Linked DNA regions of Mytilus edulis. Each later gene encodes a partner of the first gene's protein in a complex. Links are inferred from orthologs where the notes say so. Each region holds a gene or a part of one and is shown in the gene's direction. Other genes may lie near its edges. The genes, in order: nuclear pore complex protein Nup205-like, nuclear pore complex protein Nup54-like, nuclear pore complex protein Nup214-like and nuclear pore complex protein Nup107-like.

The links.
Region 2: nuclear pore complex protein Nup205-like (region 1) and nuclear pore complex protein Nup54-like share a complex: the UniProt entries of both Drosophila melanogaster proteins name them as parts of the nuclear pore complex. The link is inferred for Mytilus edulis from reciprocal best matches to the Drosophila melanogaster genes Nup205 and Nup54.
Region 3: nuclear pore complex protein Nup205-like (region 1) and nuclear pore complex protein Nup214-like share a complex: the UniProt entries of both Drosophila melanogaster proteins name them as parts of the nuclear pore complex. The link is inferred for Mytilus edulis from reciprocal best matches to the Drosophila melanogaster genes Nup205 and Nup214.
Region 4: nuclear pore complex protein Nup205-like (region 1) and nuclear pore complex protein Nup107-like share a complex: the UniProt entries of both Drosophila melanogaster proteins name them as parts of the nuclear pore complex. The link is inferred for Mytilus edulis from reciprocal best matches to the Drosophila melanogaster genes Nup205 and Nup107.

The regions. Positions count from the first base shown.
Region 1 is NC_092353.1:65,266,120-65,273,558, forward strand, and holds the start of nuclear pore complex protein Nup205-like, read left to right. Parts: upstream 1-4,431; 5' UTR 4,432-4,555; coding exon 4,556-4,586; intron 4,587-7,439. UniProt on the Drosophila melanogaster protein: Plays a role in the nuclear pore complex (NPC) assembly and maintenance, but with limited role in NPC permeability. Required for specific nuclear import pathways such as Mad import.
Region 2 is NC_092351.1:43,985,780-43,993,628, reverse strand, and holds the start of nuclear pore complex protein Nup54-like, read left to right. Parts: upstream 1-4,837; 5' UTR 4,838-4,914; coding exon 4,915-5,017; intron 5,018-7,849. Other genes in the region: uncharacterized protein, read right to left, coding at 1,314-1,332. UniProt on the Drosophila melanogaster protein: Component of the nuclear pore complex (NPC), a complex required for the trafficking across the nuclear envelope. Essential for the nuclear import of nuclear localization signal (NLS)-containing proteins in an importin alpha/importin beta-dependent manner.
Region 3 is NC_092345.1:2,075,703-2,083,040, forward strand, and holds the start of nuclear pore complex protein Nup214-like, read left to right. Parts: upstream 1-4,316; 5' UTR 4,317-4,404; coding exon 4,405-4,443; intron 4,444-5,111; coding exon 5,112-5,238; intron 5,239-6,472; coding exon 6,473-6,699; intron 6,700-7,338. Other genes in the region: serine/threonine-protein kinase Nek7-like, read right to left, coding at 668-856. UniProt on the Drosophila melanogaster protein: Part of the nuclear pore complex. Serves as a docking site in the receptor-mediated import of substrates across the nuclear pore complex including emb, RanGAP and phosphorylated Mad. Protects mbo/Nup88 from proteasomal degradation at the nuclear pore.
Region 4 is NC_092347.1:43,234,025-43,241,932, reverse strand, and holds the start of nuclear pore complex protein Nup107-like, read left to right. Parts: upstream 1-4,906; 5' UTR 4,907-5,026; intron 5,027-7,908. Other genes in the region: protein BCCIP homolog, read right to left, coding at 4,596-4,721. UniProt on the Drosophila melanogaster protein: Plays a role in nuclear pore complex (NPC) assembly and maintenance. Required for nuclear import of Mad. Mediates the association between the nuclear pore complex and a subset of active chromatin regions adjacent to lamin-associated domains.

The DNA.
Region 1 (7,439 bases):
TGTCTAGTATCTCAGATCCGTTAAATAACACTTAAAATAAATTAAAAAAAACGTTACCCTATTCCTTTACCAAATACTCATTGGAGAAGAAATACCATTTGAAACAAACAGAAAAGATAACCAGATGCTCCGCAGGGCGTAGCTTTATACGACCGCAGAGGTTGAACCCTGAACGGTTGGGGCAAGTATGGACACAACATTCAAGCTGGATTCAGCTCTAAATTTGGATTGTGATTAAATAGTTGACACAGCATAGGTTTCTGACACAGAATGAATGTGTTCTAATGAACTTAAAATTTTTGTTTTCTCTTAGAGCAATTCACTATGCTGTTGAATATTAATCCTCTCAAAAAAATGTTTGAAGAAATTTTCTTTTTATTTATGAAATTTCAAATGAGAAAAATTGAACCCAATTTTTTTAATCACATCCCCCTTTCCCTTATTCCAAAACTAATCTCAATTAAAATTTCTAATGGAGTTTGCAACAATAACTACTCATTTAAATACATCATAAAATATTAAGATGTAAAAAAAATGCTTGTTATCACTGAATGGTAAAGATTATTTTAATTTATCAGTTGGTAGTAAAAAGTGAACATGCATTGTATATTGTATATAACAAAGATTTAAGTTGATTCTGGACAAAGAAAGATAACTCCAATTAAAAAAAAATCTTGCTATTGCACAATATTTTGCAATTAGATATTTCTTGCTTACTATTCTGGACAAAGAAAGATAACTCTAATTAAAAAAAAATATTGCTATTTCACAATATTGTGCAATTAGATATTTCTTGCCATTGTGCAATACTTTGCAATTGAAAAGACTTGCTATTGCACAATACTTAATATAATAATTTTAGATCCTGATTTGGACCAACTTGAAAAATGGGCCCATAATCAAAAATCTAAGTACATGTTTGGATTCAGCATATCAAAGAACCCCAAGATTTCAATTTTTGTTAAAATCAAACTAAGTTTAATTTTGGACCCTTTGGACTTTAATGTAGACCAATTTGAAAACAGGACCAAAAATGAAGAATCTACATACACAGTTAGATTTGGCATATCAAAGAACCCCATTTATTCAATTTTTGATGAAATCAAACAAAGTTTAATTTTGGACCCTGATTTGGACCAACTTGAAAACTGGGCCAATAATCAAGAATCTAAGTACATTTTTAGATTCAGCATATCAAAGAACCCAACCAATTCATTTTTTGTCAAAATCAAACTAAGTTTAATTTTGAACCCTTTGGACCTTAATGTAGACCAATAAGAAAACGGGACCAAAAGTTAAGAATCTACATACACAGTTAGATTCGGCATATCAAAGAACCCCGATTATTCAATTTTGATGAAATCAAACAAAGTTTAATTTTGGACCCTTTGGGCCCCTTATTCCTAAACTGTTGGGACCAAAACTCCCAAAATCAATACCAACCTTCCTTTTATGGTCATAAACCTTGTGTTTAAATTTCATATTTACTTATACTAACGTTATGGTGCGAAAACCAAGAAAAATGCTTATTTGGGTCCCTTTTTGGCCCCTAATTCCTAAACTGTTGGGACCTTAACTCCCAAAATCAATACCAACCTTCCTTTTGTGGTCATAAACATTGTGTTTAAATTTCATTCATTTCTTTTTACTTAAACTAAAGTTATTGTGCGAAAACCAAGAATAATGCTTATTTGGGCCCTTTTTTGGCCCTTAATTCCTAAACTGTTGAAACCAAAACTCCCAAAATCAATCCCAACCTTTCTTTTGTGGTCATAAACCTTGTGTCAAAATTTCATAGATTTCTATTAACATAAACTAAAGTTATAGTGCGAAAACCAAGAAAATGCTTATTTGGGCCCTTTTTGGCCCCTAATTCCTAAAATGTTGGGACCAAAACTCCCAAAATCAATACCAACCTTCCTTTTGTGGTCATAAACCTTGTGTTAAAATTTCATAGATTTCTATTAACTTTTACTAAAGTTAGAGTGCGAAAACTAAAAGTATTCGGACGCCGCCGACGACGACGACGACGACGCCAACGTGATAGCAATATACGACGAAAAATTTTTCAAATTTTGCGGTCGTATAAAAATGTAGTTATCCCTAATATCTCAATCCTTTTTTTCGGCTGTAAGCACGCTGCTGTAGCTAACGTTTTCTAATGCGTAATTGAGACATCTCTAGTATATTCAAACTACTGCAAATTATAAAAATGGCTTTCATAAAGTAGCAACCACTTAACTTAAAACTAGAGGCTCTAAAGAGCCTGTGTCGCTCACCTTGGTCTATGTGAATATTAAACAATGGACACAGATGGATTCATGACAAAATTGTGTTTTGGTGATGGTGATGTGTTTGTAGATCTTACTTTACTAAACATTCTTGCTGCTTACAATTATCTCTATCTATAATAGTACTTTCTGTGGAAAATGTTATTGAAAATCTTCAAATTTTAAGAAAATTGTTAAAAATTGACTATGAAGGGCAATAACTCCTTAGGGGGTCAATTGACTATTTTGGTCATACTGACTTATTTTTAGTTCTTACTTTGCTGTACATTATTGCTGTTTACAGTTTATCTCTATCTATAATAATATTCAAGATAATAACAAAAAAACAGCAAAATTTCCTCAAAATTACCAATTCAGGGGCAGCAACCTTACAACCGATTATCCGATTCATCTGAAAATTCCAGGGCAGATAGATCGTGACCTGTTCAACAATTTTACTTCCTGTCAGATTTGCTCTTAATGCTTTGGTTTTTGAGTTATAAGCCAAAAACTGCATTTTACACCCATGTTCTATTTTTAGCCATGGCGGCCATCTTGGTTTGTTGGCCGAGTTACCGGACACATTTTTTAAACTAGATACCCCAATGATGATTATGGCTAAGTTTGGTTAAATTTGGCCCAGTAGTTTCAGAGGAGAAGATTTTTCTAAAAGATTACTAAGATATAAATCCTTTTCAAAAGAAAAACTATATAAAAGCTTAGTTTGGACATTTTTATAGCAATTAAAAATAAAAAGGATTTTATATTTTTATGAATCATATATCATTTAAAATAATTCATCATATATTCAGTAAAATATGTGTGAAATAACAATATGCTATTGATAAGTTTCCTTGTCGAGATAACCTAAAATACTATTCTTTTGAATAAAGATTTTTTGAAACCAAAAAAGATTATCTCCCCTTCCTACAAACATATTGCAATTTCACAAATATTTTACTGAATATGAAATGTTTTTATTCACATAATGTGTGATTCTTATGAATATAGAATACTTTTCGAAAGAAAAACTATATAAAAGCTTAGTTTGGACATTTTTATAGCAATTAAAAATAAAACAGTTCACCTTTAGTATGGTAATGGCTATAATATATATATACAGATTGATAGACTGATTTAGTAATACCATCAATAAAGTGGAGTTAAAGTCTTATAGGATTGTAAGTATATTTTATTTTATCACCTTGCACTTTCACATTTTGACTGAACAATTTGTTCAATACTCTGACCAGTTGAACAATTTGATTTTATAAAACAAATTGCAATTTGGTCAAAATTTTTAATGAGTTGCAATTGGTAGATAGCAACACTAACAGTCAAGTCACTGTAAAATGTGTGAACAAGATAAGTTTAGTTTCATTTTGAAAAGTAATGATACGGACATTAGTACTGTAAGTGTAGCTGGAATAAGCGATATGTATGATTTGAACATTCATTTAAAGCAAACATAATGTTGTTAAGAGCTTTTATAGTATTAAAGCTGATTGTAATAGCTTGAATTAATAATATTGTATGAATAACACCTCCACGCAATGTAAATATAAAATATGTATCTCTTATCATGATCATTGAGAAAATATGTATGTTTTTTTGTTTGTTTGTTTATTTTTGTATTTGTAAATGTCGGCTGGTATTATTTCTGTCTAGGAATTTACACCAATATTTGATTTTATTTTATTTACATGAGAGACATGGGCAGTTGTCCAGTCATCTGCCAGACTGGAACAATACCAGTTATAGGCTGACTTCTCAGCAAAGCGGATGATGGAATGTTATCTGGTTCTGCTGATTTGTTCGGATTTAAGTTATGCAAAAGTTTTTGTATAACTTGATTTTTATGAATAATTTTTATAAGGACAAGGATAGTAAACTATACAAATCCTTGACATAAAGGATGTATATACAGCCATCGCAAACGAGAGATACGGTAAAGACGGTAAACAATCTTTCATCATTATTTTCTTTGGCCCATTTACTTTATCGCAATAATTATTATTTTCTTTGGCCTATTTTCTTTCTCACAATAATCATAATATGATAATGCATGTTTTTAGAGACATATACATATATAAAAATGTCTCTGCTTTTTTAAAATAAAATACACGATTAAGAACCATTTCTATCAAAGGGTCGAGTTGTATAGGTCGATATTGTAAAGTGCCGATAGAACGTGAATTCATCTGGGTTCCTTATACAAAATACTCACTACCGTCTGTTTGAAGTGAAGCATCGGGATTTTATCAGGATACCAGTTTACAGCCACTATGGCATCTGGGGGCATGGCGGTAAATTCAGGTGAATTTTACTATTTAATTACGGGAAAAGGTTAAGATCTTCTTTGGCTCATATTGTTATTGGCTAGAGCGCTGCTTTTAGATCCCGTGTTTGAGGGTTGGATTCCCACTGGCACCATCCATAGATTTACACAACACCTGTCAAAGTGTCATGCAATATATTTTAAGTTCCTCCTCATTCAGTCCCAGAAAGAAGAAATATTATGGATAATTTATAATAATCCACTGGAACAAATATTACAGTATAAAATTGTTCCTTTAATACGGAATAAAGTTTATGGATATGGCATTATTTACAACAAAGTTTCCAGAACATATATTTTATGTTAACAAATCGAAATTATATGATTTTGTCTGACATGTTTCCTATAAAAATAACAAAAGCTAAAATGTGAAAAATTATTTATGAAATTTCGTATTATAACATTCAAACAATTTCTCATTTGTCCTATATGAAAGAAATCACAAGTACATAATCAGGGGTTAAAAAATCCGCTAGCCCGACACCCGGGACTAGAGCATTTACGCATCAGGCAATCAAAATGTGTAACCCAATATGCCCGACGGACTAGTATCACAAATTTTTTGACGTTTCCAAAATAAAAAGGAAGAAAGTTGAAAATCCTTTCATCACTATTCTATCTTAGCCAATCAGATTCAATTACAAATGTACGTCATCCGAATTCCAAGAATTTGAACTGGTTTGTACACTCGTGGTTTTGTACATATTTCTTTTAAATAGAACAAATAACTCTGGGTGGTCCGGTATCATGTATAAATATTGATTTCTCATACCCTGCCTGTGGTATTGTATATTTATTTGATTGCTTAATGCTAATGGTGAGATTTTTCAATTAACCGTATTGGGGGTATGGAGAATTGATCATTTTGGCACGGACGGCTGTTGAGCTTGAAACCATGCAACAAAATATATCTAAATATTTTAGTACAGGCACCCAAGGAACTTCGTCAATTTCAAAACGAAAAACTGTAGATGAAGAGGGTAATTCGAGGCTGAAAATTCATCCCCCAAATATGCCAAATACGACCGAGAAAAGCAGGGGGAAAAAAATACAGATTGATTCCCCTGGGCAAGGTCGGCTGTTGCTGATGAAAAAACCCCAGAGACGATGCTCTGTGAAAATTGTCGTTATTTCCCCAAGCACGCCAATAAAAAGCCTGCTTTGTATGTGGGAACAACTAAGTTAGGTTAGGCCATAAAAAAGAATAGATTTGTTTGCCCAAACCCTACCTACCCAGAAAAAAGCTGCCTACTCAAATTCTTTTATTGTCCTGATTTGAAGAAGTTTTTTTTTAATCAGATAGGCATGAAGACTAATAAATATCCGATACGTAAATTTCTTTAAAAAAAAAAAAAAAAAAAGAAAATGCCTACCTACCTACCCACTGTCTCAACCTTGGGTAGGGTTTGGGCAAACCAAAATATTTTTAATTGTGGCCTTAAGCACCAACAGAATAAATAGCAGATCAACAAAGAATATTAAATACAGTGTATAATATCGCCTTCAAAACAGTGACACCCACTGTGTTGTATTATGAAGCAAAATCTAATTTTTAAGGCATACTCGGACTAGCCAGTCAGTTTTGATGAACAAGCAGTTCTTCCAACAGGGCTAGTAAAATACGGCTGCCTATAAGTTCTGGGCTAGTTAGCTGTAACAAAATTTTTTAACCCCTGCATAACAAGAACTATTTAGTATAAATAATCTAGTCTTCACCTTGTATTACTGTACACCTAATCGCTATTTGTCTGCCATTACTGACATAAAACAGATTCCTGTAACATTTTGACATCATAATACAAAATATCTGACGCCACAATGGAAAAGTGATTGTTGTATGACGTCTATAGTACAAGTGGGACAGATTCTCAGGTCAGCCGGGGATAGTGATAAGGTGTAATTACATGTACATGTATAAGTGCATAATTTCATTCTTAAGGCAGTGTCTGAGAAACCCTCCAAGCATTGACGAGTTGCCAAATTGGCCTGTGTAGGCTAAACACATCCACATTAAGTTTTATTATAGTAAAATGTCATTGCATCAGGGTTAAAGTGTGAAATATACACAGAAATTATCAGTGATTTTCCGGTTTTGTGAATGCAGTGAAGAGAAGGGCAACTTATAATTTATTAGTTCAATCTAAATTTAAAACAAATATTGCAAATGTTGTATATCTGTATGTTGAATCCGTACTTTCTGGAACTGTTGTATTGTCTTAACCATGATTGTTGTGATGATTACATGTATCAGCCTCTTTTGGCATCTGAATCCAAAGTAAAAGGAACGTAAATTGAAAGCTCTTCCTTTTTACTAAAGGAATAAAACTATACTGTCTGTGTTAAAGAAAACATGATAAAGTTAAAATAAAATGTAAATGCACATTTAAAGAATAAATTTATACTGAATTTGCCTTTAAAAAAATGCTATGTGAGACAATTATTCTAGTAAAATAGGAAACAGAAATCTAAACTATAAAATATCTTCTTTTCTCTAAAGTCACAATATACCAGTTGCGAGGTCATGGAGGTACAGTGGTTAGTTGAATCTAGGTGACTATGTCTGAATATTGATCACAAGCTGAGACCTATTATAATAAAGAATTAAAATTCCATAACAACTGTCTTTGTTATTTAATTACTTTTCAGCTACATGTAAGACAATTGTCAATTCTGATTTAAAATAAGATTAAAACTAGATTTAATCTATGTAGAATTCTCTACTAATACACATGCTTTGTTTACTACTTTATGCACATGCATGAAATTTCAGATTGGACACTTAAATCATAAATTCAAAATGATTTCATGCTAAATAAAACAAAGTGCAACTA
Region 2 (7,849 bases), on another chromosome or scaffold:
AATTTAATTCAGTTTATGTTAAGTCTAGAGGGGGGGATAGGACATTTATCGGGACTCCGGGATCTGGTGTTTTTAAGCTCGGGATTTCGGGATTTACTCCTTCGGGATCCGGGAATTCTTTTTTTTAAATTTCGGGATCCGGGATTTAACTTTATTTAAATTCGAGACCTCGGGATTTCGTGTTTTTAAGCCCGGGATTTCGGGATCAGGACCCCTCCTACCCCCCTCAGTCTAGTAATTCAGTTTCCTCGTTGTGTTTTGTAGATCACACAGGGTGAGTTTTGAATGATGATATTTGTTTGCAGGCATTACAGGATGTATGCATTAGGGTCTGTATGAATGTGTGATCTTTAATTTCTTTATTCTTTAATCATTTCCCTCTCTATTCTTTATTTATTTTGCCATTATTCTTTATATTTGAGCACCCTTTTATTCTCTATTCTTTACTCTTTTCGCTCATCTCTATATTTCAAAGATGTTAATTATACACTTTTTCCCTATTATTCTCCTTTGTGTAAACCTCATCCAAACCCTTATGCACAACTATCGCTGGAACCAAGGAGTCGACATAATGCAACTGTTGTGCTGCACGTCCCTTTTAATTTGGTTTTCGGTTTTTTTTCTTTTACAAATTTACTGCTATAACTAAGAGATTTCCATGATATTGACACTTGCAATCAGAATACTGGGTCATTAAGTATCATAGCAGTTTTTAGTAAACATATATAAATAAGTAAGAAAAAAAGAAATGAAAGAAAGGGAATTATAGCTAAAATTAAGAATGGAAATGGGATCGAATGCGGCAAAGAGATAACAACCCGACCAAAGCGCAAAAAACAAGCGAATGCAACCAATGGGTCTTCAACACAGCTAGAAAATGCTGCGACCGGAGAAGGGCTTCAGCTGGTCCCCAAACAAAATGTGTACAAAGTATTAACTAGTCAAGAGAAAGGGTTGAGTTATTCGACGTGCATTTGTGCTCCAAGATGTGTCTTTTTTTATTGACCTGTTCAACAGCTGTTACGTTGATATGTATAATTCGTTTAAGTGTGCGCTTTAAATCGAGTATTTCAATGCAACGCGTAGAATTATAGGAAGCCAATAGACTTTCAACATCTTACTGTAAATAAATACATGTGTACATGTATTTATAAAATATGAAAAGGATTCAAAAGTATAGTCGATACAAATATAAGAACATGATTGTGGCTCCTATATCATTTAAAGATTATGTATGCACCTTTCCCCTTACTCTATTTTCAAAACGAATATTTCATACATCAGTGAAATGAATTGAAATGAAGATTTCTTACCTGCATGTTTATTGCACATCCATTAGATAAACATAATATGGTTTTTACAACGTCCGCATACGGGAAGTATATATTTGAGTTTCGACCGATTGTGACACATTTAACTTTATGACCAGATGACAGGTAACAACTTTGGGGAAGTATTTTTTATCATTTAAATTTTATAGTTTACTTAGTATTCCGACTACCAAACAAAATGCACTAAGTCTTGAGGTTTTAATTTCAAAAGTGTCCTTTGTTGATTTTTTCAGTTATTAGACCGTAAATACGATATAAAAGAAAGGATGTTATGGGGTTTTTAGGTGGGAAATTATCGTATATCGTACGAGCTTCTTTAAAAAAAAAGTGCAATAATGTTAAATCAAATGCTGTCATGATATCATAGTTTTATTCTTTATTTTCAGCGATTCGTAGACAGAATTAAAGGAAGGAAACATGGAAACAATTAAAAACTTCCTTTTTCAAACATTATATTATTTATAGAATACTATATATTTGTATTTAAATAGATGTAGCGGCTCACTTGTACGCCTGTAGAAATAAACATGAAAATCGCTGATACCACAGGAGAGACCCATATACTACTGTTATAAACCGGTGTCACTTACAGGCGGGTTACCAACAAATGCGTCTAAAGTAAATACGTTGTACAATGAATAATGTACAATGAAATTAGATATACATTACACAATTTCAGCGTTAGAAATTAATACCTCCTAAAGCAAGTCATCTGCCATAAAAGACATAACAGCATTTTATAAGATAACTCAATATTTGAAGTTCACACCAATCTAATTTTACACGCGAATCACAGTGAGCTAAATTTTCTAAAATCGAAATTTTAGCCATGCAGATTTAGTATCGAAAGTTTGAAAGATAATATGAAAAGTAGATGCGGTATGATGAATGAGACACTACGCAGAAATTAAGAACTATCATAGGTCACCGTACGGCCACCAACAATAGAGCTTATAAATATTTCAAGAGTGTGATAATAATAATAATAATAATAATAAATTCTGTATTTAAAGAGGGTAACTTAATTAGAACTAGTCTAATTTTCATTGTGGCCCTCACACAAAAATAAAAATCACTGTTTATAAAATCGGAGTCAAATGAAAATTCTTTACACGTCTTGTCGTCAATAAGTTTGTTTACTGTATGTTATTGAGTTGCAGACTAAGGTGACCACCATACAACGCTTTCCCCTACAATAAAAACAAACTAATTTGTTGGTATGAAAGGCTTTGTCGTTTTTGTCTCGCTCTGCTCATCTCAATTTTTTAAGATTTAATTTCTTAGTTTCAACATGGTCATTAAGGAAAATATAAAGAAAAGAAAAATGGTGAATGGATACGGAGAATGTGTCGAAGCGACAAAAACCCGACCAAAGAGCAGAAAACAGCCGAAAGCCACCAAAGGGTCTTCAACACAGCGAGAAAATCCCACAGCCGGAGTCGTTCTTCAGCTTGCCTCTAAACAAAAATGTGTACTAGTTTAGTGAAAATTGACGTCATACTTAACTCCAAAAAATATAAATGAACTAAAATTATAAAAAAAAATCTAACAAGACTAACAAAGTCAAGAGACTCCTGACTCACGACGGGCAAACAACGGCGAGGTTAAACATGTTTAATGAAATCTCAACCCGGGCTCCCCTTATACCTCTAGCCAACGTAGAAAAAAACACAGTAATTCGCAAAGAACTCAATTTATGAAAGTCCGATTCTGATGGCAGATTAGGTAACAAAAGAAACAAACCAAAAAACAATGGTTTATGAATCATAAATCAACAAAAGACTACTAGCAGTTACTGACATGTCAGCTCCAGACCTCAATTAAACTGATTGAAAGATTATGTATGTCTTTATCATATGAAAATCAAGCACAATCCTTCGATCCCGTTAGAGGTTTAGTATCATAACGTCATACAATATATGAGAAAATGTATCCCGTATCATGTCAACAATTGGTTTTAGAATGAATGTGTATATTTCCGACGCAAGGACCCTTTGAGTGAATCAATATTAAAACCAAACTATGCCATCTTTAATGACCTGGCAATAGTATCGTAACTATATCCCTCCTGAATCAGTCTATTGAAAGGTTTAGTTAGCTTTTGCCATTTTGGGGTTGATGTCAACATTGTTGTGCTTTATAGAGAATATTACAATAAGAAATTTGATGTAAAATACCTGAACACATAAGATATCTGCATGTTGATTTATCATTTACGAATTATGTCCTTACATGTGTACCAATGATAACATTTAGTAAATCTTTTGACTAGTTTGTGATATCGAAAACCCTTGTGTAATAATTTTTCATTAATACAGTGATTTCTTTCATTAAACATGTTAAAATCAAATACGTTGTTTTAAACACCGATCCCCCCTATATATATAGGGGAGAGGGGGAATCTGAGACAAGTGCCTGTGGTTCATTGTTAGTATTAACTTAATTTAAAGTCAACTCAGTTAGATGTGTCTTAATAAAATTGTCATTATTGAGATCAAATATATTTAGTATGACGTCCATTTTCACCGAACTAGGCTAGTACACATTTTAATTGAAGGGCTAGCTGAGACTCACCGCATTATTTTTTTTTTATCAAATAAATATTGTTGGGGCCGGTGTTGAAATTCTAATATCTTTCAAGGGAGGCTTTAGGTACATTTTTTTTCATGTTTACAACATGTACAAGTGGGAAATAAGAAAAAAAGAGAAGTTCTTATGTTCACTCTACCCAATCAAAAAAAAGTAGGCCTAATTACTAGTCTGTAAGTACGAATCCGAGATTTTGATACCCCACTTTCGATTTTCATATACAATTCAACAAGTCAAAGGTGTAGACAAAAGTTTAAGAAATCTGTGACATAGCCCATTTGTCATAACTTGAACTTAAGATATATATAACAGGGTTTTAAATTGATTTTAGAATTCAATATGAACAATATATAATTTGAATTAACAAACTATTTTAAAAATTAATAATTGATAGTCATATTTATTATTAAAATACCAATAAAGTATAGTCATTTATAATTTAATCAGTGTGTTAATATATATGAATTATTATTTTTACCTGAGATTACCTGTAAAATGAATGCGCGCAAATGTAATCAAAAGCTGCGCGCAAACATAAAATATTTTAATCCCCAAATGCGCGCAAACGTAGTGCGCCCCTTCAGAACCAATTGTGTCTATACTAGTATATAACATGGGAACAGTATATATCTATTAATAATATATGTTCCTGTTCGTGTCTCTTTTAGTTCATTAGTTTGTAAACTAATCATTTAAGTATTTGATTTTAATACAGCAAGGCTATAATTATGAAAACTTGAAAGTACCAATAATTTTCTTAAGAACAAAGAGACGTTGAGCAATCACTTTCGATTGATAAAGTCGCTAAATTATATCTTCCAGTCGAAAATTGTCGCTAAATTATTCTTCTTGTCACTTCTTGTCGCTGAAATCCTTCTTGTCGCTAATTAGTGTAACCGAAGTAATCTGTTTAGGGGAGATAACTATTTTGCTCTCCAGTCAGGAGGAAAGAAACGCGGGAATGGAAATTTAGAAATTTAGGAATAGAAAAAGTATGGCATTTTTTGGAGGAGCAGCGACGACTCCTTTTGGAACAACAGCTACTACATCTACTTCAACAGGATTTGGAGGATTCGGCACACAAACTCAAAGCACAGGTATCATTATATTAATTATGGATTATCAGATAAAACTGCGTAAATTATTTTAGTCTGAAATTATTTGTGTCACAGGCCACTTGTTTCTATCTATGGGAAGACCCACTATCAACGTATATTTACGTAAATTTGGTACTTTCAAAGAGTCGTATCAAAAAAGAGGTGCACCATAATATGATTTTTTTCCTGTAAAGTTGTAAAGTCAATAATTTAAACTCGTATTTTGAGTTTTATATGAATTAATCAGTATTTTTCTCAAAATCATTAAAAATTAAAATTGCATTCAAGTCTCAAATGACAGAATCCTAATAATAAATGCACACAATAATTTCTGAATTTACAGTAAATTTAATCAATACTTTCACTTTACTTTCTCTTTCAATTGCTATTTATAACGTACATATAGCAGGGGTTCAAATTAGCGGTGGACCTTCCACTATTGCAATCAGACTTTCGTTATTGTTACAAGCTACGCTCAACAGACCTTCGATTTGAAAGAATATAAAAATTAACTTTGCCGACCTTTTTAACCAAAATTTCCAGACAATCTCAAAATTTATTTTTATCTTTATAAATTATGACAGCGATGTTCATTTTGTTCAACCGCTAGTTTTATACCGAAAATCGCCAACAAGTAATGTGTAAATCCGAGTAAAATCGTATTTGACTGACATAAACAACATTGAAAATCAATGCATGCCATAAACCGGAAGTGAAGACAATTACAATACCGGATCAGATTCCGGTGACGGATAAGTGTAACTCCGAATTTGCCGATCAAATACATTAAAAAAATAATAATTCCAGGCAGGTGACAAAATACATCTTTTATGATGAAATATAAATACTAGAATTGAAAACCAAAAGATATATTGAAAAGAAAGTGAAAGAAGGAAAATATTTTTATACAGAAACTCAAAATTACTTTTAGTTCACAAATTTTCGTGTCAAAATCCAATAAAATGTGACAGTAATTTTCTTCATCATTACTAAATGTTGATATTACATGTAGATGTTTTTATAGTGTGAACATATTACTACAATTCCAAGAGGTAATTTCTTTTCAATTTTGAAGGCCAGTAAAATCTCAGGAAGTTTTTTACTTTATTTTCACAGATGACTATAATAGTGCAACTAGATGTGACACACTTAAACAGCTTTGAATTTGAACTTTAATTGTATTCTCGGGTATGAATTGAACAATATAAAAAGGAGATGCATATGGTCCTTTATATTATAGTGAAAACTACAAGACAACACACCCACCAACAGTGACACCCTCCCCAATACAAAAAAAAAAGGATTATGTGAATTCATATACAAGACAATTACATTTATTATTAAACATGTTATACAACAGTGACACTAACAATTAAACAAGCTAACCCAACACCAAAAGCACATTAATTTTGTATCTTACTGAGTTATGAAATATTTCAAGTGAAAGTAGGACCTGTAATTTAGGTTGTGGACCTTTCAGTTTGGAGTGTCAAAGGTCCTGGACCTTCTAGTACCAAATGTTAATTTGAACCCCTGCGTAGTCCAAATAATTATGACGTCTTGCAAGGCTATTTTAATTTTTTTCTGGGATGCCTTCCTACAACATCATAGGACAGTCAGGGGACTTACTGTAAAAATCACTTATTTGAGTAGCAAATTCGAGGTCTTGTCACAAATTGGGATTTTGTAGTTTTTTTTAAATTTTAAACATATAGGTTTAAATAGCATCTTTCAATTAGTAAAAATTAAAAAATATGAACTTTTTGCTTCTGTTAAGTAGCAAGGTTTATGCCTTTGATGCTATCATTCTGAAAATTCTATTTTAGTTGAAAAAATGCTATAATAATGGCTTTACATAATGAACTGATACTTTCTTAAAAGATTTTTCACAGCAGTGGGAGTATTTTTCCTGTGAAGTTCAAGGTTTCATCTTTCAGATTATGTAATAAAATTCTACTGTTCGCTGTTCGCGATAAAAATTTCACTGTTCGGGGGTGTTGAAATTAGTGGGGGTTATTAAAAGAATGATACTTAAAGAAGTGATTTTTGGGAAGGAAATTGAGGTCTGATACTTAAACAAGTGATTTTTATGTCATTATCCTAGATTCAGTACAAGGTCATCACCTGAAATGACCTGGTCATCCTAGACAACACAGATGACTGATGTTGGTTCTGATAAATTTAGAAACATAATTTAAGGCCCTGGATCATTAGTATTCTATATTTAAAGCTACACTAATATTAAATCACTTCTTCTAGTGATTAATTTGTACTACTTAAATAGGTGATTATTAGAGAAAGACAACTCTAACTTCGAACCTTTATGGAAATAATGTTACTTGAATCAGTGATTTAGAAAATCACTTGTTTAAGTAAGTCCCCTGACTGTAGGACAACCCAGAAAAAATTAAAATAGCCTTGCCAGACGTCATAATTATTTGGACTTTTTATAACGTTACTTTGACTCATCATCATGACCTAGTCCAAATAATTATGACATTTTAAAGGCTATTAAATGTTTTTTCTTTGACGCCTTACATCGACAATTATTTGTCACATGACTTTATAGCAAATCATTTCACATTTACGAAGTGTTCTTCATAACTATATGTTCAGGTTTAACAAAAAATCGTTTTAATGAAATTTTATACATTTTGTCATTGCAAAATGATGTACATTTGTATTTTAAAAGATTTCTCAGATCGTTTTTTAAATATTGATCTTTGAACTTTGAGGTATTTGTTCATTGAATTTTCAGTAGCCACCGTCTTGTTTGATATGGAAACCATTTTACACAACTGGGATGTTCTTTAACATGTTTAAAAAGATACT
Region 3 (7,338 bases), on another chromosome or scaffold:
ATGATACAATCGTCATATAGTATAACTAAAACTAAACATGCTCAAAGATGTATTATGTGTAACTTATTTTCAAATCATTCATTTATTAGTTTATCATCATGATCATGCAGTGTTAATTGAATTAATTTGAAAGGGATATAAACTGTCAGTCTTGATTAGATAAATGTCAGAAACCTGCTGGTTGTAGTTTGTTACTGTCTGTTATTTATGTTTTCCTGTAAATCATGTACATGTATATTGTTTGCCATGAATCTTAGATCTTGCCAATGGTTTCATATTTTGTCATGTTGAGGATTTTAACAAAGACCATACTGTATTATTCTGCTCACTATTGAAGGTTTGTACAGTAACCTATATTTGATTACATCCACACCTTTTGGACACAGGTGGATAGCTGTCTCATTGGCAATCATTCCACATTTTCTTATTTTCATGCTTTTCTCTCCACATCAATACAATTTTGGGCTGTTTGAGCTTTTTGGATGGGTTGTTGTCTCTTTGACATGTTTGACCAAAACCTAGTATTCATTTTCTATCCCAATCTACTAACAGTTTAATCACCAGTGGCTCTTTACATATAAAAATTGTATGACTGAATTGTACAAGTATTTTTTTTGAAAGATTTTTTGTGAAATGAGTGTCAGTTCTACATTTTATAAATATTTACCTGAACTTTCTTCAATGCTACAACACTGCCATCTATTTTATTAATAGCTCTATATACTTCAGAAAACTGTCCCTTTCCTATCTTTTTATCTATTTTAAAATTAGCAAGGCAGCCATATTTACTGTCCTGTTCATCAGTAGGGGAGGGGTTTCCTTCTAAGTCCATTGGCTCCATACCCCCGGCAGCCATATTGGTAGCCTTTAACCTAATGAGAAATGAACTAAATATTGTAACATACAATGTACAGTGACCTACATGTATAGTTATTAATGTCTGTGTCATTTTGGTCTCTTGTGGACAGTTGTCTCATTGGCATCATACCCTTTTTAAAAATGTATGTTTACATTAAATTGCCGTAATCAATATTTTTAGAAAGAATTACAAGTTCTTCTTTCGTCAAATTGCTGTCATCACTAATTTTCAGAAAGAATTTAACTTCATTCATCAAATTCAGTCCATTTACTTTTAATCAGCAAGCACCAAAAATTACTATTAAATTATCAAATTATTGCATTAACATGATTAATGTCATATCGCGCATTTGGCAAAATAATTTACTGTTATAAATTCGTCCCCCATTACAACCATAGAGGATACACTTATCACTATTTGTCGGCCATTACTGGGTATCACAAAAGTTCCCTTAAAATTCTGACATCATAAAAGAAAATATCTGACGCCACAATGGAAAAGTGATTGTAGTATGACGTCAAAATTCAAGTGGGCCAGATTCTTGGGTCAAACGCTGAAGCGGGAACAGCGATACGGTCTATACACCTTAATGCTAATACCAGCTGCGACGCATACAACAATCACTTTTCCATTGTGGCATCAGATAGTTTGTTTTATGAACCTGTGTAATATCCAGTAATCAACAGACATATATATATAGCGATAAGGTGTACCTATTGATAGAGCAGTTGATTATTACTCTTTCAATTGAACAAGAGATTGGTTGAGGGCATCCAGTACCAGTGTATTTTATGCTGGAAAGAACATTTTTTTTTATTATAATATACATGTATCTGTATAAATTTATCTGATTGGTTGTTGTTGTTTGATCTGGTACCAGGTAGGAAAATGTGGAAAAATTTCAACAGAGTATTCATAGATGAAGTACAATTAACTGCCGCATTCTATCGATAACAAAAGAATGGTTTACCTTGTTTACCTTCCGTTCTAGTTTTTTTTGTACCGAATAGTATAGGAATTTAATGGAAGTGTTTGGTGCGCATGAGTTAATTTTTCCTGACAACGTCATTCGGTTATCCTCTCGATTTTAGTTCAAAATAAACGAAAACATCGAAGAAATTAAATCAAAATCTTTTGTACGTTTTAGACAAATTGCGAAATAATGAGATATTAAAGATTAAATTTCAAATCAAATCAAATCAAATATGTTTATTGGATAATCAATATATATGTACAGTGCACAATTGATGTCTTCCACACAATGAACAGATATTAAAACAATTAATACAAAATAAATGCATATACATTAGAAATAATATCTGGACAGAGCTAATATAAGTTGTAAAACATTAATATAGTTCAAAAGCTTTTTCAATAAAAGTACAGATAGCTTTTGTATCAATTTTATTTAAAGGATACATAATGTTATGTAGAATAGTAGATTCCTTTTCCCTTTTATTTAAATCCGAGGGGTCGATATTTAATTTTTTGAAGAGATCTTGTCTTAAAATTGAAAACTTTTTACAGTATAAAATGAAGTGTTTTTCATCATCTAATAAATCACAAGTCTGACAAAGTCTTGAGTTATGCGGAATTTTTGGTCTATGATAACGACCTTTTTCTATTAAAAGAGAATGTGCACTAATTCTTAACTTAGTCAAATTTTTACATAGTGCTTTTGGAATATTAAAGTCAAGATATTTTTGAAGAGAAAAATTTGTGTAACAAAATGAAAAATATTTAAGCTTTGAGTCAGAATTGTAATTAGAATAATTTTGAAGCTGTTCTTTAATTAGTTGGATGGTTTGATCGTGTATTTTCAATTCTAGATTTTCATTTTCCAAATTCTTTACATCCAATTTAAATTTTTTGCAACTATAATCAATAAATGAATACCATGATTTTGACCCCTCTTTGAAAAGTCCTCTATCTACTTTATACACTTCAGCAAGAAATCTATCAGATGGAAGTTGTTGCAGTCTTATGAAATATTTAAAAGCCAATTTAGTAATAAAATTAATAATTGGTAATCTTCCTAATCACACCTGGAGGCTAAATTTGATGCCTTTTTATGTACTCCAAGTAGATATTTACAAAATTTATTATGTATTTTTTCAAATGGTATATTATCTTTATTTAAATCTTTTAAAGTAAAATCGGATATCCAAACTTCTGATCCATAGGTTGTAATAGGTCTAATTAGAGAATCAAATAACTTTAGCTTAAGCTTGGTACCAGAGTAATTATAATCTAGAATATTTGATTTAAGACTAAATACTGCTTTAAGAGCTTTATTATACATATGTTCTGCGGCATGCTTTAAATTGCCATTAAATGAAATCAGCATTCCAAGATATTTATATTTATCGACTGTTTCTATATTTTGACCATTAATTTTAAATTTGATGGCAGATTTTTTCTTGCCCTTACTAAAAATCATAACTTTAGTTTTAGTAATATTGACTTTCAACTTCCATCTGTTACAATATATTCCCAGGCTGTCCAGACAAGCTTGTAAACCCTTTTCACTCTCTGACAGTAGAATTAAATCATCTGCATATTGTAAACAATTAAATTGTGTTGTAATGAGTGACACAGGAAATGTTTTTGAAAAATCAAATATTTTTGGCAGATCATTAGTGTATATATTAAATAACAGAGGGCTAAGACCATCACCTTGTCTAACACCCCTATTGGCTCTATGAGCTTCTGAAATAAAGTTTTCTTTTTTTACCACAAACTTTGAATTAGAGTACATATGTTTAATTATCTTATAGAAATTTCCTCCAATTTTAAGATTTAATAGTTTTTTAAGTAATCCTGAGTGCCAAACAGAGTCAAAAGCTTTAGAGAGATCTACAAAACAAGCAAAAATAGGCTTTTTTAATTTGTGTAAATATTTATTTATCAAAGTTTTAATAGTGAAAATATGATCTGCAGTTCTATAATCTGGTCTGAATCCTGCTTGAAAGGGATTATAAAGATTATTTTCTTCCATATATTTATGCAGTCTTTTCTGTAATAATGAGGTGAAAAGCTTGCCAAGACAGCTGGTAAGGCTAATACATCTATAATTATCGCATATGTTTATGTCACCATTTTTGTGTAAGAAGGAAGTACAAGATAAATTCCAAGCATCTGGAAATTTTCCGCTTGATAAAATTCTGTTAAATAAATTAACAATAGGTAAAAGTAATAGGTCTTTTCCATATAAAAGGAATTCATTATATATAAGGTCTATTCCTGGTTGTTTATTCTTCTTAAGTTTTTTAATGCCATCTCTGACTTCTTTACAAATGAATGCATAATCTAAATGTTTATTATTAATATTTTCAATTTCTATCTTCGAGATATCTAAATCAGTATTATTTTCTTCATAAAGCTTTTTTAAGTAATTTGACATTTCAGATAGAGGTATAGGATTTTCTTCTCTATTTGTATTTTTCTTCAGATTATTAAAATTTAACATTGAACGAAATTTTGCAATATTTACAATTTGGGGCCAAATTTTGCAATATTTAAAAGCGAAAGTTTAGATTTAGATTATGGCAACAGCTGACGAACCTCCGGAAAGAGACGTGAAGGTATGTTGTGTTTGTAATGTGTAATAGTAGGCAGGTGTTACAATGTCGAAGAAATGACTATTTTGAAACTCATTTTTATAAAATTTTTGCAACAAAAAACAGTATAGACCTACTTTACATTGCATACCTGCCAACTTTTCAAAATGCCCATGGGTGTTTTACGTGCAAAATGGCTCTCCAAGTCCTACACAACCTGTAAAGGGGCCTTCAAATTTATTTTAATGATGTTTATTTGCTTCCTCATACTTGCATGCATACTGTATACAATCCTATACCAATGATTAATTGTTTGATTTGTTTTAAATTTTGGACAAAATTGCTCTTTCAAAATTTCAAATTGGAAGCCTCTAAAGGGGGAAACCCTCGCAAATAGTGACAGTTGGCAGGAATACAGTCTATGATTTTTGGAAACAAGACTTATATATGTTTTTAAGTTTAAACACACTTTCTTGTTCAAAATGACAAATGGGATAGACACAAGTTTTTCAACTAAGTATTGTCTTCTCCAATTATAGTTTATAGGTCAGGGAGCCAGTGCGGCCATGTAATAAAGTTATTTTAAGTTTTACTTCTATTTGATATTGAATCATATGTTGTTGTATTTATAAAGACTTCAGATAAATGGAAAACAGATCACATATTAATTGTCCATTAATTTGTTTAATCAGGATTTCAGATATCAGCAGCTATGCAGGTTTCAGATAGATGATGGCAATTCACCAGTAAGGGGGAAGAGTCCTCAGTTAGTTGCAGCTTCCTCAAAATATGGAGTAGTCTTTGTTGGTACAAGTAACGGTAAGTCATTTGGGGAAAAAAAGCAGTTCAGGGTTCAATGCCAGACATATTTTTAGAAGACCTGCCTGGTAGAAGAGGTAAATAAATAAATAAGCTTTATTTAGAGTCGGCAATGTATACAAACATAAACAACATAAGCTCTAATGAGCTTTTAACTGACATACAAGACATTTATAACAATACAACATTTAAAACAATACAACACATAATACACAAGCAATAAATTACGCAGCACAAAATGAAGGACTAAAAGCATAGTGGTAATAAGCAGAATATAAGCATGCTAAGCTAAGTATTAAAGCTAAAAGCATATAAGTGTAAACTATACATGATTAAAAAGCTGGTAAAAATGCATAGCATTAAATATTTAAAAAAAGATGTATGATCTAAACAATGGTAAATAATTTTCATGATTTTAGCATAATTTTAGGATAAAATCTGCACAAACTGTAAACTGTAAATGTAATGCATGAATATGATTAATAGTAATTGAACCAATGAAAGGCTAAAATCTCTATTGCATTGCAGTCTTATCTAATTTTTGTTGAGCCTTAGACTTTTGTCGAAAAAGCGAGACATAGCGATCCTACATTATGGCGTCTACGTCATTGTTGTTGTTGTCAGTAGCGTCCACAAATATTCACTAGATGACTGATGTGGTTAAAGTTTTTAAAATTTAAATAACTTTCTTAAACTCTCCTGAATTTGTACCAAATTTGGACAGAAGCTTGTGTATAATCATGATCATATGATAGTATCCAGAAATAAATTTTGTAAAAAAAAATGCCATTTTTTCCCGTATTTTACTAATAAATGGACAATAATGGACTTAGTTTTTCTGCCAGGAAACATTACATGTACATTCACTCTGTGGTTTAAGTTTTTAAAATTTTAATAACTTTCTTAAACTATCTGGGATTTGTACCAAATTTGGACAGAAGCTTGTTTATGATAAAATGCTAGTATCTAGTAGGAAATGTTGTTAAAATTTTGTTCCTGTTTCAGTATTTTACCTGTAAATGGACTTAGTTTTTCTTCCAGTTAACATTACATCCAGTCTGCAGTTAAAGTTTTTAAAATATTTATTAGATTCATAAACTACACTGAATTTTAACTAAACTTGGACAGAAGCTTCTTACAATCAAAAGATAGTCATGATAGTATCGAGAAAGATATTTTGATTAATTTTTTCCTCATTTTTGGTGAGCCTATGTTCTATTCATCATATTTGTAGGATTTAAAGTGATACAGACATCTGAACTGAGTAGAATTGATAGAGAACATGCTAAAGACAGAACAAAAATAATTGTGAAAGAATATCCTTGCCAGGCGTCAATAGAGTTATCTGCCCCTCCATCATTGTTGGCACTTAGTTGTGACAGTCTTAGCTTGGCTGTGGTTGTAGAAAGTGCAGATTTGTCACAAGTCTACATATATGATACTAGAAGTTTTGTCAGTCAGGTAAATTATATAGACATAAAGTCTTTATTCATAGGTTTGATTAAAGAGAATTTCTCCAGAGAGAGCCAGTATCTGTTTTTTTTTCCATGGAGCTGATGTATTCTTGCATTGTTAACCCTTAGTATCCTTTAAAAGTGTTTTTCTAGGTACAAACTCATAGATTTGATTTTTTTCTAATAAACATGATAAATACTACACAATGCACTAGTTTCTTTTTCTGTGTATTTCAAGCAATTAAACATAATTTCAAATAACAAGAGTTGTGATCAGAAGCTGCATACCACCAACATTTTAAAAAGGACTGGCAAAATTTTTGAATTTATGGTATTTTGCAACAGAAATAACAATAAGTACCACCAGATTTTCTCCAATGACATACATCAAAAAATGTTTTAATAACTCTTAAATAATATTGATGAGTATTAAACATGGTTAGTTGGAGTGGTATTTAGCTCAGAATTTGGTGGTTAGTGGAATAATAAATTTTTAAAAAAATGTTTGAAGATATCTATTTGTTATGTTGCAATATTTTAAATGAATTTATACTGCACTCGTTCTATTTGAGCAGTCAAAATGCGTTGACTGTATATTTCTATGCCATATACAGTCACTGACCTGATATTACTTTTCCTCATGAAT
Region 4 (7,908 bases), on another chromosome or scaffold:
TATAAAAAGTCGTATAAAAACTTAAACCACAGAGTGAATGTTTGGCAAAAAAACTAAGTCCATTTATAAGTAAAATACGGAAAAGTGGAAATTTATTTTTACAAAATTTTCTTCTTGATACTATCGTATGATCATAAACAAGCTTCTGGCCAAGTTTGGTACAAATCAAGGATAGTTTATGAAAGTTATTAAAATTTTTAAAACTTTAACCACAGAGTGAATGTAATGTTTCCTCGCAGAAAAACAAAGTCCATTTATAAGTAAAATACGGAAAAGTGGAAATTTATTTTTACAAAATATTCTTCTTGATACTATCTTATGATCATAAACAAGCTTCTGGCCAAGTTTGGTACAAATCAAGGATAGTTTATGAAAGTTATTAAAATTTTTAAAACTTTAACCACAGAGTGAATGTAATGTTTCCTCGCAGAAAAACAAAGTCCATTTTTAAGTAAAATACGGAAAAAATGGAATTTTATTTTTACAAAATTTACTTCTGGATACTTTCTTATGATCATAAACAAGCTTCTGTCCAAGTTTGGTAGAAATTCAGTATAGTTTAAGAAAGTTATTAAATTTCAAAAACTTTAACCACAGAGTGAATATTTGTGGACGCCGCCGCCGCTGACAGAATGTAGGATCGCTTAGTCTCGCTTTTTCGACTAAAGTCAAAGGCTCGACAAAAAGTGCAATTGAAGATTTCTTGCTATTGCGCAATACTGTGCAATTGAAAATTTCTTGCTATTGCACAATACTGTGCAATTGAAGATTTCTTGCTATTGCTGAATACTGTGCAATTGAAAATTTCTTGCTATTGCACAATACTTAATATACATGATATAATAATTTTGGATCCTGATTTGGACCAACTTGAAAACTGGGCCCATAATCAAAAATCTAAGTACATGTTTAGATTCAGCATATCAAAGAAGCCCAAGAATTCAATTTTTGTTAAAATCAAACTTAGTTTAATTTTGGACCCTTTGGACTTTAATGTAGACCATTTGAAAACGGGACCAAAAATTAAGAATCTACATACACAGTTAGATTTGGCATATCAAAGAACCCCAATTATTCAATTTTTGAAGAAATCAAACAAAAGTTTAATTTAGGACCCCAAAAACAAAGAATAATGCTTATTTGGGCCCTTTTTTGGCCCCTAATTCCTAAACAGTTGGAACCAAAACTCCCAAAATCAATCCCAACCTTCCTTTTGTGGTCATAAACCTTGTGTCAAAATTTCATAGATTTCTATTTACTTAAACTAAAGTTATAGTGTGAAAACAAAGAAAATGCTTATTTGGGTCCTTTTTGGCCCCTAATTCCTAAACTGTTGGGACCAAAACTTCCAAAATCAATCCCAACCTTCCTGTTGTGGTCATAAACCTTTTGTTTAAATTTCATAGATTTCTATATACTTAAAACTAAAGTTATAGTGCGAAAACCAAAAGTCTTAGGACTATGACGACGACGACACCAACTAGATACAAATTTACGACCAAATTTTTTTTTAGTTTTTGCAGTCGTATAAAAATATTTATTTTGACCCCTTTTGGGCCCCTTGTTACTAAACTATTAAAACCAAAAACCCCAAAATCAATCCCAACCTTCCTTTAGTGGTAATAAAGCTTATGTTAAAATTTTATTGATTTCTATTTACTTTTACTAAAGTTATTATCCGGAAACCATCCGTCTTCGGTCGACAACAACGTGATACCAATATATGACCACAATTTTATAATATTTGCGATCGTATACAAATAATTAAACACTAGAGAAGTATTTCTCATTTCTGTGATAGAGACCCTTTGTGGAACTCTTCTGAACTTTTCGGGGTTGATTTGTCAACATTAAATTGTTCCACCTTACATATGTTACAGAAGTTCAGGAAACTTTGTTAAAACAATGACATAACATTTTACCTGTTACTTTTTCTTTGAGTACATTTCATGAATAAAGTATTACTGTACATTCATTATTATTCATTGGTTACCAATTTTCGTGGATTTCCTGGGTATTGGTGAACCACACAATTAAATATTCAACGGATGACAAGTTTTCTAAAAGCTTGTATGAAGACTCTGTCAAAACCCTGAGCTTAAATGTTTACAAACATGCGTTTTTCTTCATCCACGAAAATTGTTATCTATGAAAATAAATGTATCTAGAGTATACCATCTATATGACATAATTTTTAGACAATTCAAATTCTTGCACACTAGAATTTAGAAAAGTATCCTTTATTCGATGTCAGGCAGGGAAGGGGATGGGTTATTTGCATTAATTGCAGCATGGCTGATGCAGTGTTATAATGTCTGAAGTTGATGCAGGAAGTAACGGCCAAACTGCCATGACGTCCCTAGGACGAAACGGACATACCCCGAAAATATGAAACGGCCATACCCCGAAAAGATGAAACGGCCATAGTACAAAAACGGCCATACTATGTAAAGACGTATCGTCCATGTTTTAATTTTTTTTTTAAATGTGATGTTATATATGAAATATTTTCAAATTGATACTTATAGATGGTTATTATAACTTTTTAATAAACTATACTGTTTTTACATTATTTATCATGTTTAATTTTGTTATATCATTTGTTTACGCATTATGTATATCATATAGGAATGTGTTTAATCTAATAACATATTAAAATATCATATTGTTTTCCAAATGATTTTATGATATCTTGCGTATAACTAACAGAACAAAATGCACAAATATGATTCGAATGACTTTATCCGAATGGGAGACTTATTTCTGTCAAAATTATCAGTCAGAGCTCAGACATAAACAAGTCGATTTTTGTTTTTGACTTAAAGAAGTCAAAACATGTATTTATTATAAAAATGTGTTTTCAATTTTAGACTTATCTAAGTCAGAAAATGACAGACTTGTTTAGGTCTATTTATGTTGATAAAAAAAACTTAATTGTACAAATGTACTTAGTGGCCAAAGTACACCACCTATGGCAGCAAAAACCTGTCTGAGAGTTCACAAGGACTTGAGCTATCTATATTCAATTATCTAATTGAACATCCTTACTAAACACAGATGTTTTACCTCATTAAGTGTGGTTCCAGGTGGTTGCATTGTAAGATTAATTAACATTATTTTCGATTTTTTAGACTCTCATTCATATTTTTCTTTAGAAGACAAAGCATTGCCTTTCAATGTTGTCATTATTTGATTTAGATGCATGACCTTTTCATAAATATGCGTGGGACTTGGAAGTTAACCAATTTTGAGAACTTATCGACTTGTAGGAGTCAATATTTGCAACTTTTTGATCCTGGTCAATTATTTCTTGCTTAACAATATTTAACTTATTAAAGTCGTATTTTGTCTTGCATTAAAGGGAAACATATCTCAAAACTACAACTTTAGACCTCTATGAGTCAAAAGCAGATTGAGACTTATTTATGTCTGAGCTCTGACTGACTATAACTATAAGAAATGTCAGCCATGTAGTTTAGAGGAATAATAAACAACTGAAGAAGGTCAATGGCCGAAACGTCTTGAACAATTGGTTTATTTATACAATTATAAAAGGTATGTTCCCTATTGGAATTTTGAAAACAAGGATATAACTATAAGATTCAGTAGTTATGAAATGTAAAACAAAGTAATCAAGTAATGATTAAGTTTTGAATTTAAGAAGATAGTTAATTGCTTATTATTACTTCTTTGATGAACACAAGCATTAATTATGCTTTTGTAAAGAAATTTTGTTAAGAGAGCCGTGGTGTAGTGGTTAGTGCATCGGACTACTAACACAAAGGTTCCTGGTTCGATTCCAATCTGGGATGAAAATTTTGACACCATTTGCGAGTATGGTCTTGAGGAAACGATGATAGTCCGTCGGACGGGGACCATAAATAAGAGAGAGCCATATCTCTTGCACGTTAAAGACACCCTTGTAGATTTCGAAAAAGAGCAGGCTAATGCCGCTACAAGGCAGCACTCGCACCCGCAAAGTGGAAAGGGATTAACATAAGTTGCAAAACTTGTTTCCCAATCCACTATAAATAAATATGCTTAAACTAAACTAAAGAAATTCAAAAAGAAATACTGTTCAAGATCTCTATAAAAACACAGCACCCAAGCTGAGTTCAAGCGGAGTGCAAACATACATTGATTGGGTAGTGAAATGCTGTTCGAGCAGTCTAAAAAGTAACACAGGCTTTGCAATATTTTATCATTATATTCTATGTTTATATAACCTCAATAATTTTGTGTGGCCGATGTGGCGGTATGGCCGACAAATCCTATGGCCGTTATGGAAGTATGGCCGACCCGTCTCGAAAGCTCTGAAGTACATGTCACCATACTATATCAAGTTACTAATTAATTTTTTTTTCAAATGTACTCAATTTAATTATTGATAATTTATATAAAAAAAAAAAGAAAAAAAAACTGTTATAAATAATCCAGAAGTCAACATTATTAAAACAGTTGCGGATACGAGTAGCCTAATGAGAATTAAAAAAGAGCAAACAAAAACGTGGGTAAAGGGGGGTAACTCTTTTTCAAGAGAACGTCCTTTCAGTATGTTCATATTGTTTATTTGGTTGACAGGGTTATTTTCTTACTTCATTAACTTCACCATCACTACTGTCATCATCATCCATGTCACTTGACCCTTCTTCATCATCGGCGACATCGTCGGCCTGCATTTTTTCTTCAAGTTGCACAACACGTTTCTTCTTCGAAGCCATTTTATAAAGTCTTTAAGAATCTTGTGCAAAACGAAACTAATTAAATCGTTAAAATTATTGATAAAATCTTTTATTATTTGTTGAATTTCACTAGATTTATGGAGTTAAAGAAGAATTCTACAATATTTAAAAAAATCAATTCAATCTTTTATGTTAAAATTTAAAAGTAAAGTTCATTCGTTTTCATTGAAAAGTTTAAAAAGTGATTACCTCCCTTGATTTTATGGCAGCGCGAATGAAAAATAGATTTTTTTCCCTGAGAAATATAGTATGCGATCACATTAAGCACAGAAGCTGTCATAGAAGTATATATGAGATCTAGCTGTATATTGTTTTCTATTTTAACTGTACACAAAGTACATCATGCATGTAAAAAAAATTCTTACACAAAATACAAAATCCGAAATTATAAAAGAGGGATATGGTGTCACGGAATAGAAGTTCCTTCATAATATAAGTTCCAAAAGGAAAAAATATTGTGGAAAATAATTTCCACAGGAATAAATATTACAGTATATGTTCCTAACAGAATAAATGGTATATAATATTTCTTCCAACAGGAATAGATATTATGACAATGTTTATAACAAAGTTTCCATTGGAACTTCTGTTAGGCGGAACAAATATACGTTGACAATGGGGCATAGCCATAGGGGAATATCGTGTGGGGCATATGTGAGCCAAAATTTGTCCCTGTAAAAAAGATCTAGTTGAACTAATATCATAGGAAATATGATCAGGGATATGATTTCTATATAAATTCGTTACATATATATATAAATATAGGAAGACTTGTTATGAGTGCCAATGCGACAACTCTCCATCCAAGTAACCATTTATAAAATTAAACCATTTAAGGTCAAGGTACAGGCCTTCAACACAGAGCTTTGGCTCACACCGAACAGCAAGGTATAAAGGGCCCCCTAAATTACTAGTGTAAAACCATTCAAACAGGAAAACCAAAGGTCTAATCTATAAAAAAAAATGAGAAACAATTATGAACCACATAAACAGACAACAACGACTGAACATCAGATTCCTGACTTACTAAAGGGGCAAACAATTGCAGCGGTATTAAACGTTTTAATGGTACCAAACCGTCTCAATCTCTATATCCTACCCTAGTCTATAATCGGTCATCTTGTTGGTTCATTCAGACTTTTATATTGTATTTATCACACAGGAAAACTGCATTGACGTCACTACGCTTATACCAGCGTTATAAACAAGTGCAGAATATGTTTTTTCTACTCTTCCAAATTAAAACAAACATTTCTAAATATATGTTGTCGGTGTTATTCTAAAGTATTGTACAAAAATGCCAATTTTCTAAAGGCTGTTTCAAACCTGACTTCCAAATGCTTAAAAACAATTCAGAACTTCAGAAAATCCCACTTCTTGCCTCCATTGCTTTGTGTACAATCGGTCCTTGATTTTAGTCATTGTTGTTAGTCATGTTAGTGGCAGACAAAACAGGCCAAGCAAATATTATGAATAGTATTTTTAAGAATTTGAAAATGACAAGCACTTTATATTACGTCTTACACGATTTTCTCCCCCCCCCTTGAAAAAAACCATCAAAATGAAAGAAAAACATGAGGAAAAAACAATTTTCATGTCATAATTTTGTTCAAGAATATAGAGAAGGTTATAAAAAACAATAAACATATAAACATCGTCCACACTTCGGACAATAACTCAAAAACACTTTCACCAATTTCCATGAAACTTAAGTGAATTGTTTATATCTATTGACGTAAGCTCCCTTTCAATTTTTATAAATTTCAGATTTTAAGTTTTGGATTTATGGGGCTTTATTCATAAAAAAGGGGGGATTTTAAACACTTCGGACAATAACTCAAAAAGGCTTTCACCAATGTCCATGAAACTTTGGTGAATTGTTTATATCTATTGATGTAAGCTCCCTTTCAATTTTTATACATTTCAGATTTTAAGTTTTGGATTTATGGGGCTTTATTCATAAAAAAAGGGGGATTTTCAACACTTCGGACAATAACTCAAAAAGGCTTTCACCAATGTCCATGAAACTTTAGTGAATTGTTTATATCTATTTATGTAAGCTCCCTTTCAATTTTTATAAATTTCAGTTTTAAAGTTTTGGATTTATGGGGCTTTATTCATAAAAAAAAGGGGGATTTTCAACACTTCGGACAATAACTCAAAAAGGCTTTCACCAATGTCCATGAAACTTTGGTGAATTGTTTATATCTATTGATGTAAGCTCCCTTTCAATTTTTATAAATTTCAGATTTTAAGTTTTGGATTTATGGGGCTTTATTCATAAAAAAGGGGGGATTTTCAACACTTCGGACAATAACTCAAAAAGGCTTTCACCAATGTCCATGAAACTTTGGTGAATTGTTTATATCTATTGATGTAAGCTCCCTTTCAATTTTTATAAATTTCAGATTTTAAGTTTTGGATTTATGGGGCTTTATTCATAAAAAAAGGGGTATTTTCAACACTTCGGGCAATAACTCAAAAAGGCTTTCACCAATGTCCATGAAACCTGAGTGAATTGTTTATATCTATTGATGTAAGCTCCCTTTCAATTTTTATAAATTTCAGATTTTAAGTTTTGGATTTATGGGGCTTTATTCATAAAAAAAGGGGGATTTTCAACACTTCGGACAATAACTCAAAAAGGCTTTCACCAATGTCCATGAAACTTTGGTGAATTGTTTATATCTATTGATGTAAGCTCCCTTTCAATTTTTATAAATTTCAGATTTTACATTTCCGTGTTATGAATTTTTATGCTTAAAAAAGGGGGGATTTTCCAATTTTGGGACAATAACAAACACTTTCACAAAATTTTATGCAACTTTGATAAATTGTTTATATCTATTGATGTAAGCTCCCTTTCAATTTTTATAAATTTCAGATTTTACATTTCCGTGTTATGAATTTTTATGCTTAAAAAAGGGGGGATTTTCCAATTTTGGGACAATAACAAACACTTTCACAAAATTTTATGCAACTTTGATAAATTGTTTATATCTATTGACATAAGCTCCCTTTCCATTTTTATAAATTTTATATTTTACGTTTTCTTAAGTAATGAATTTTTATACTAAAAAAAGGGGGATTTTATGAAACTTTGGTGAATATATTAATGTAACATCCCTTTTGATTTGTATATATATTTCTAGTTGATCATATAAAT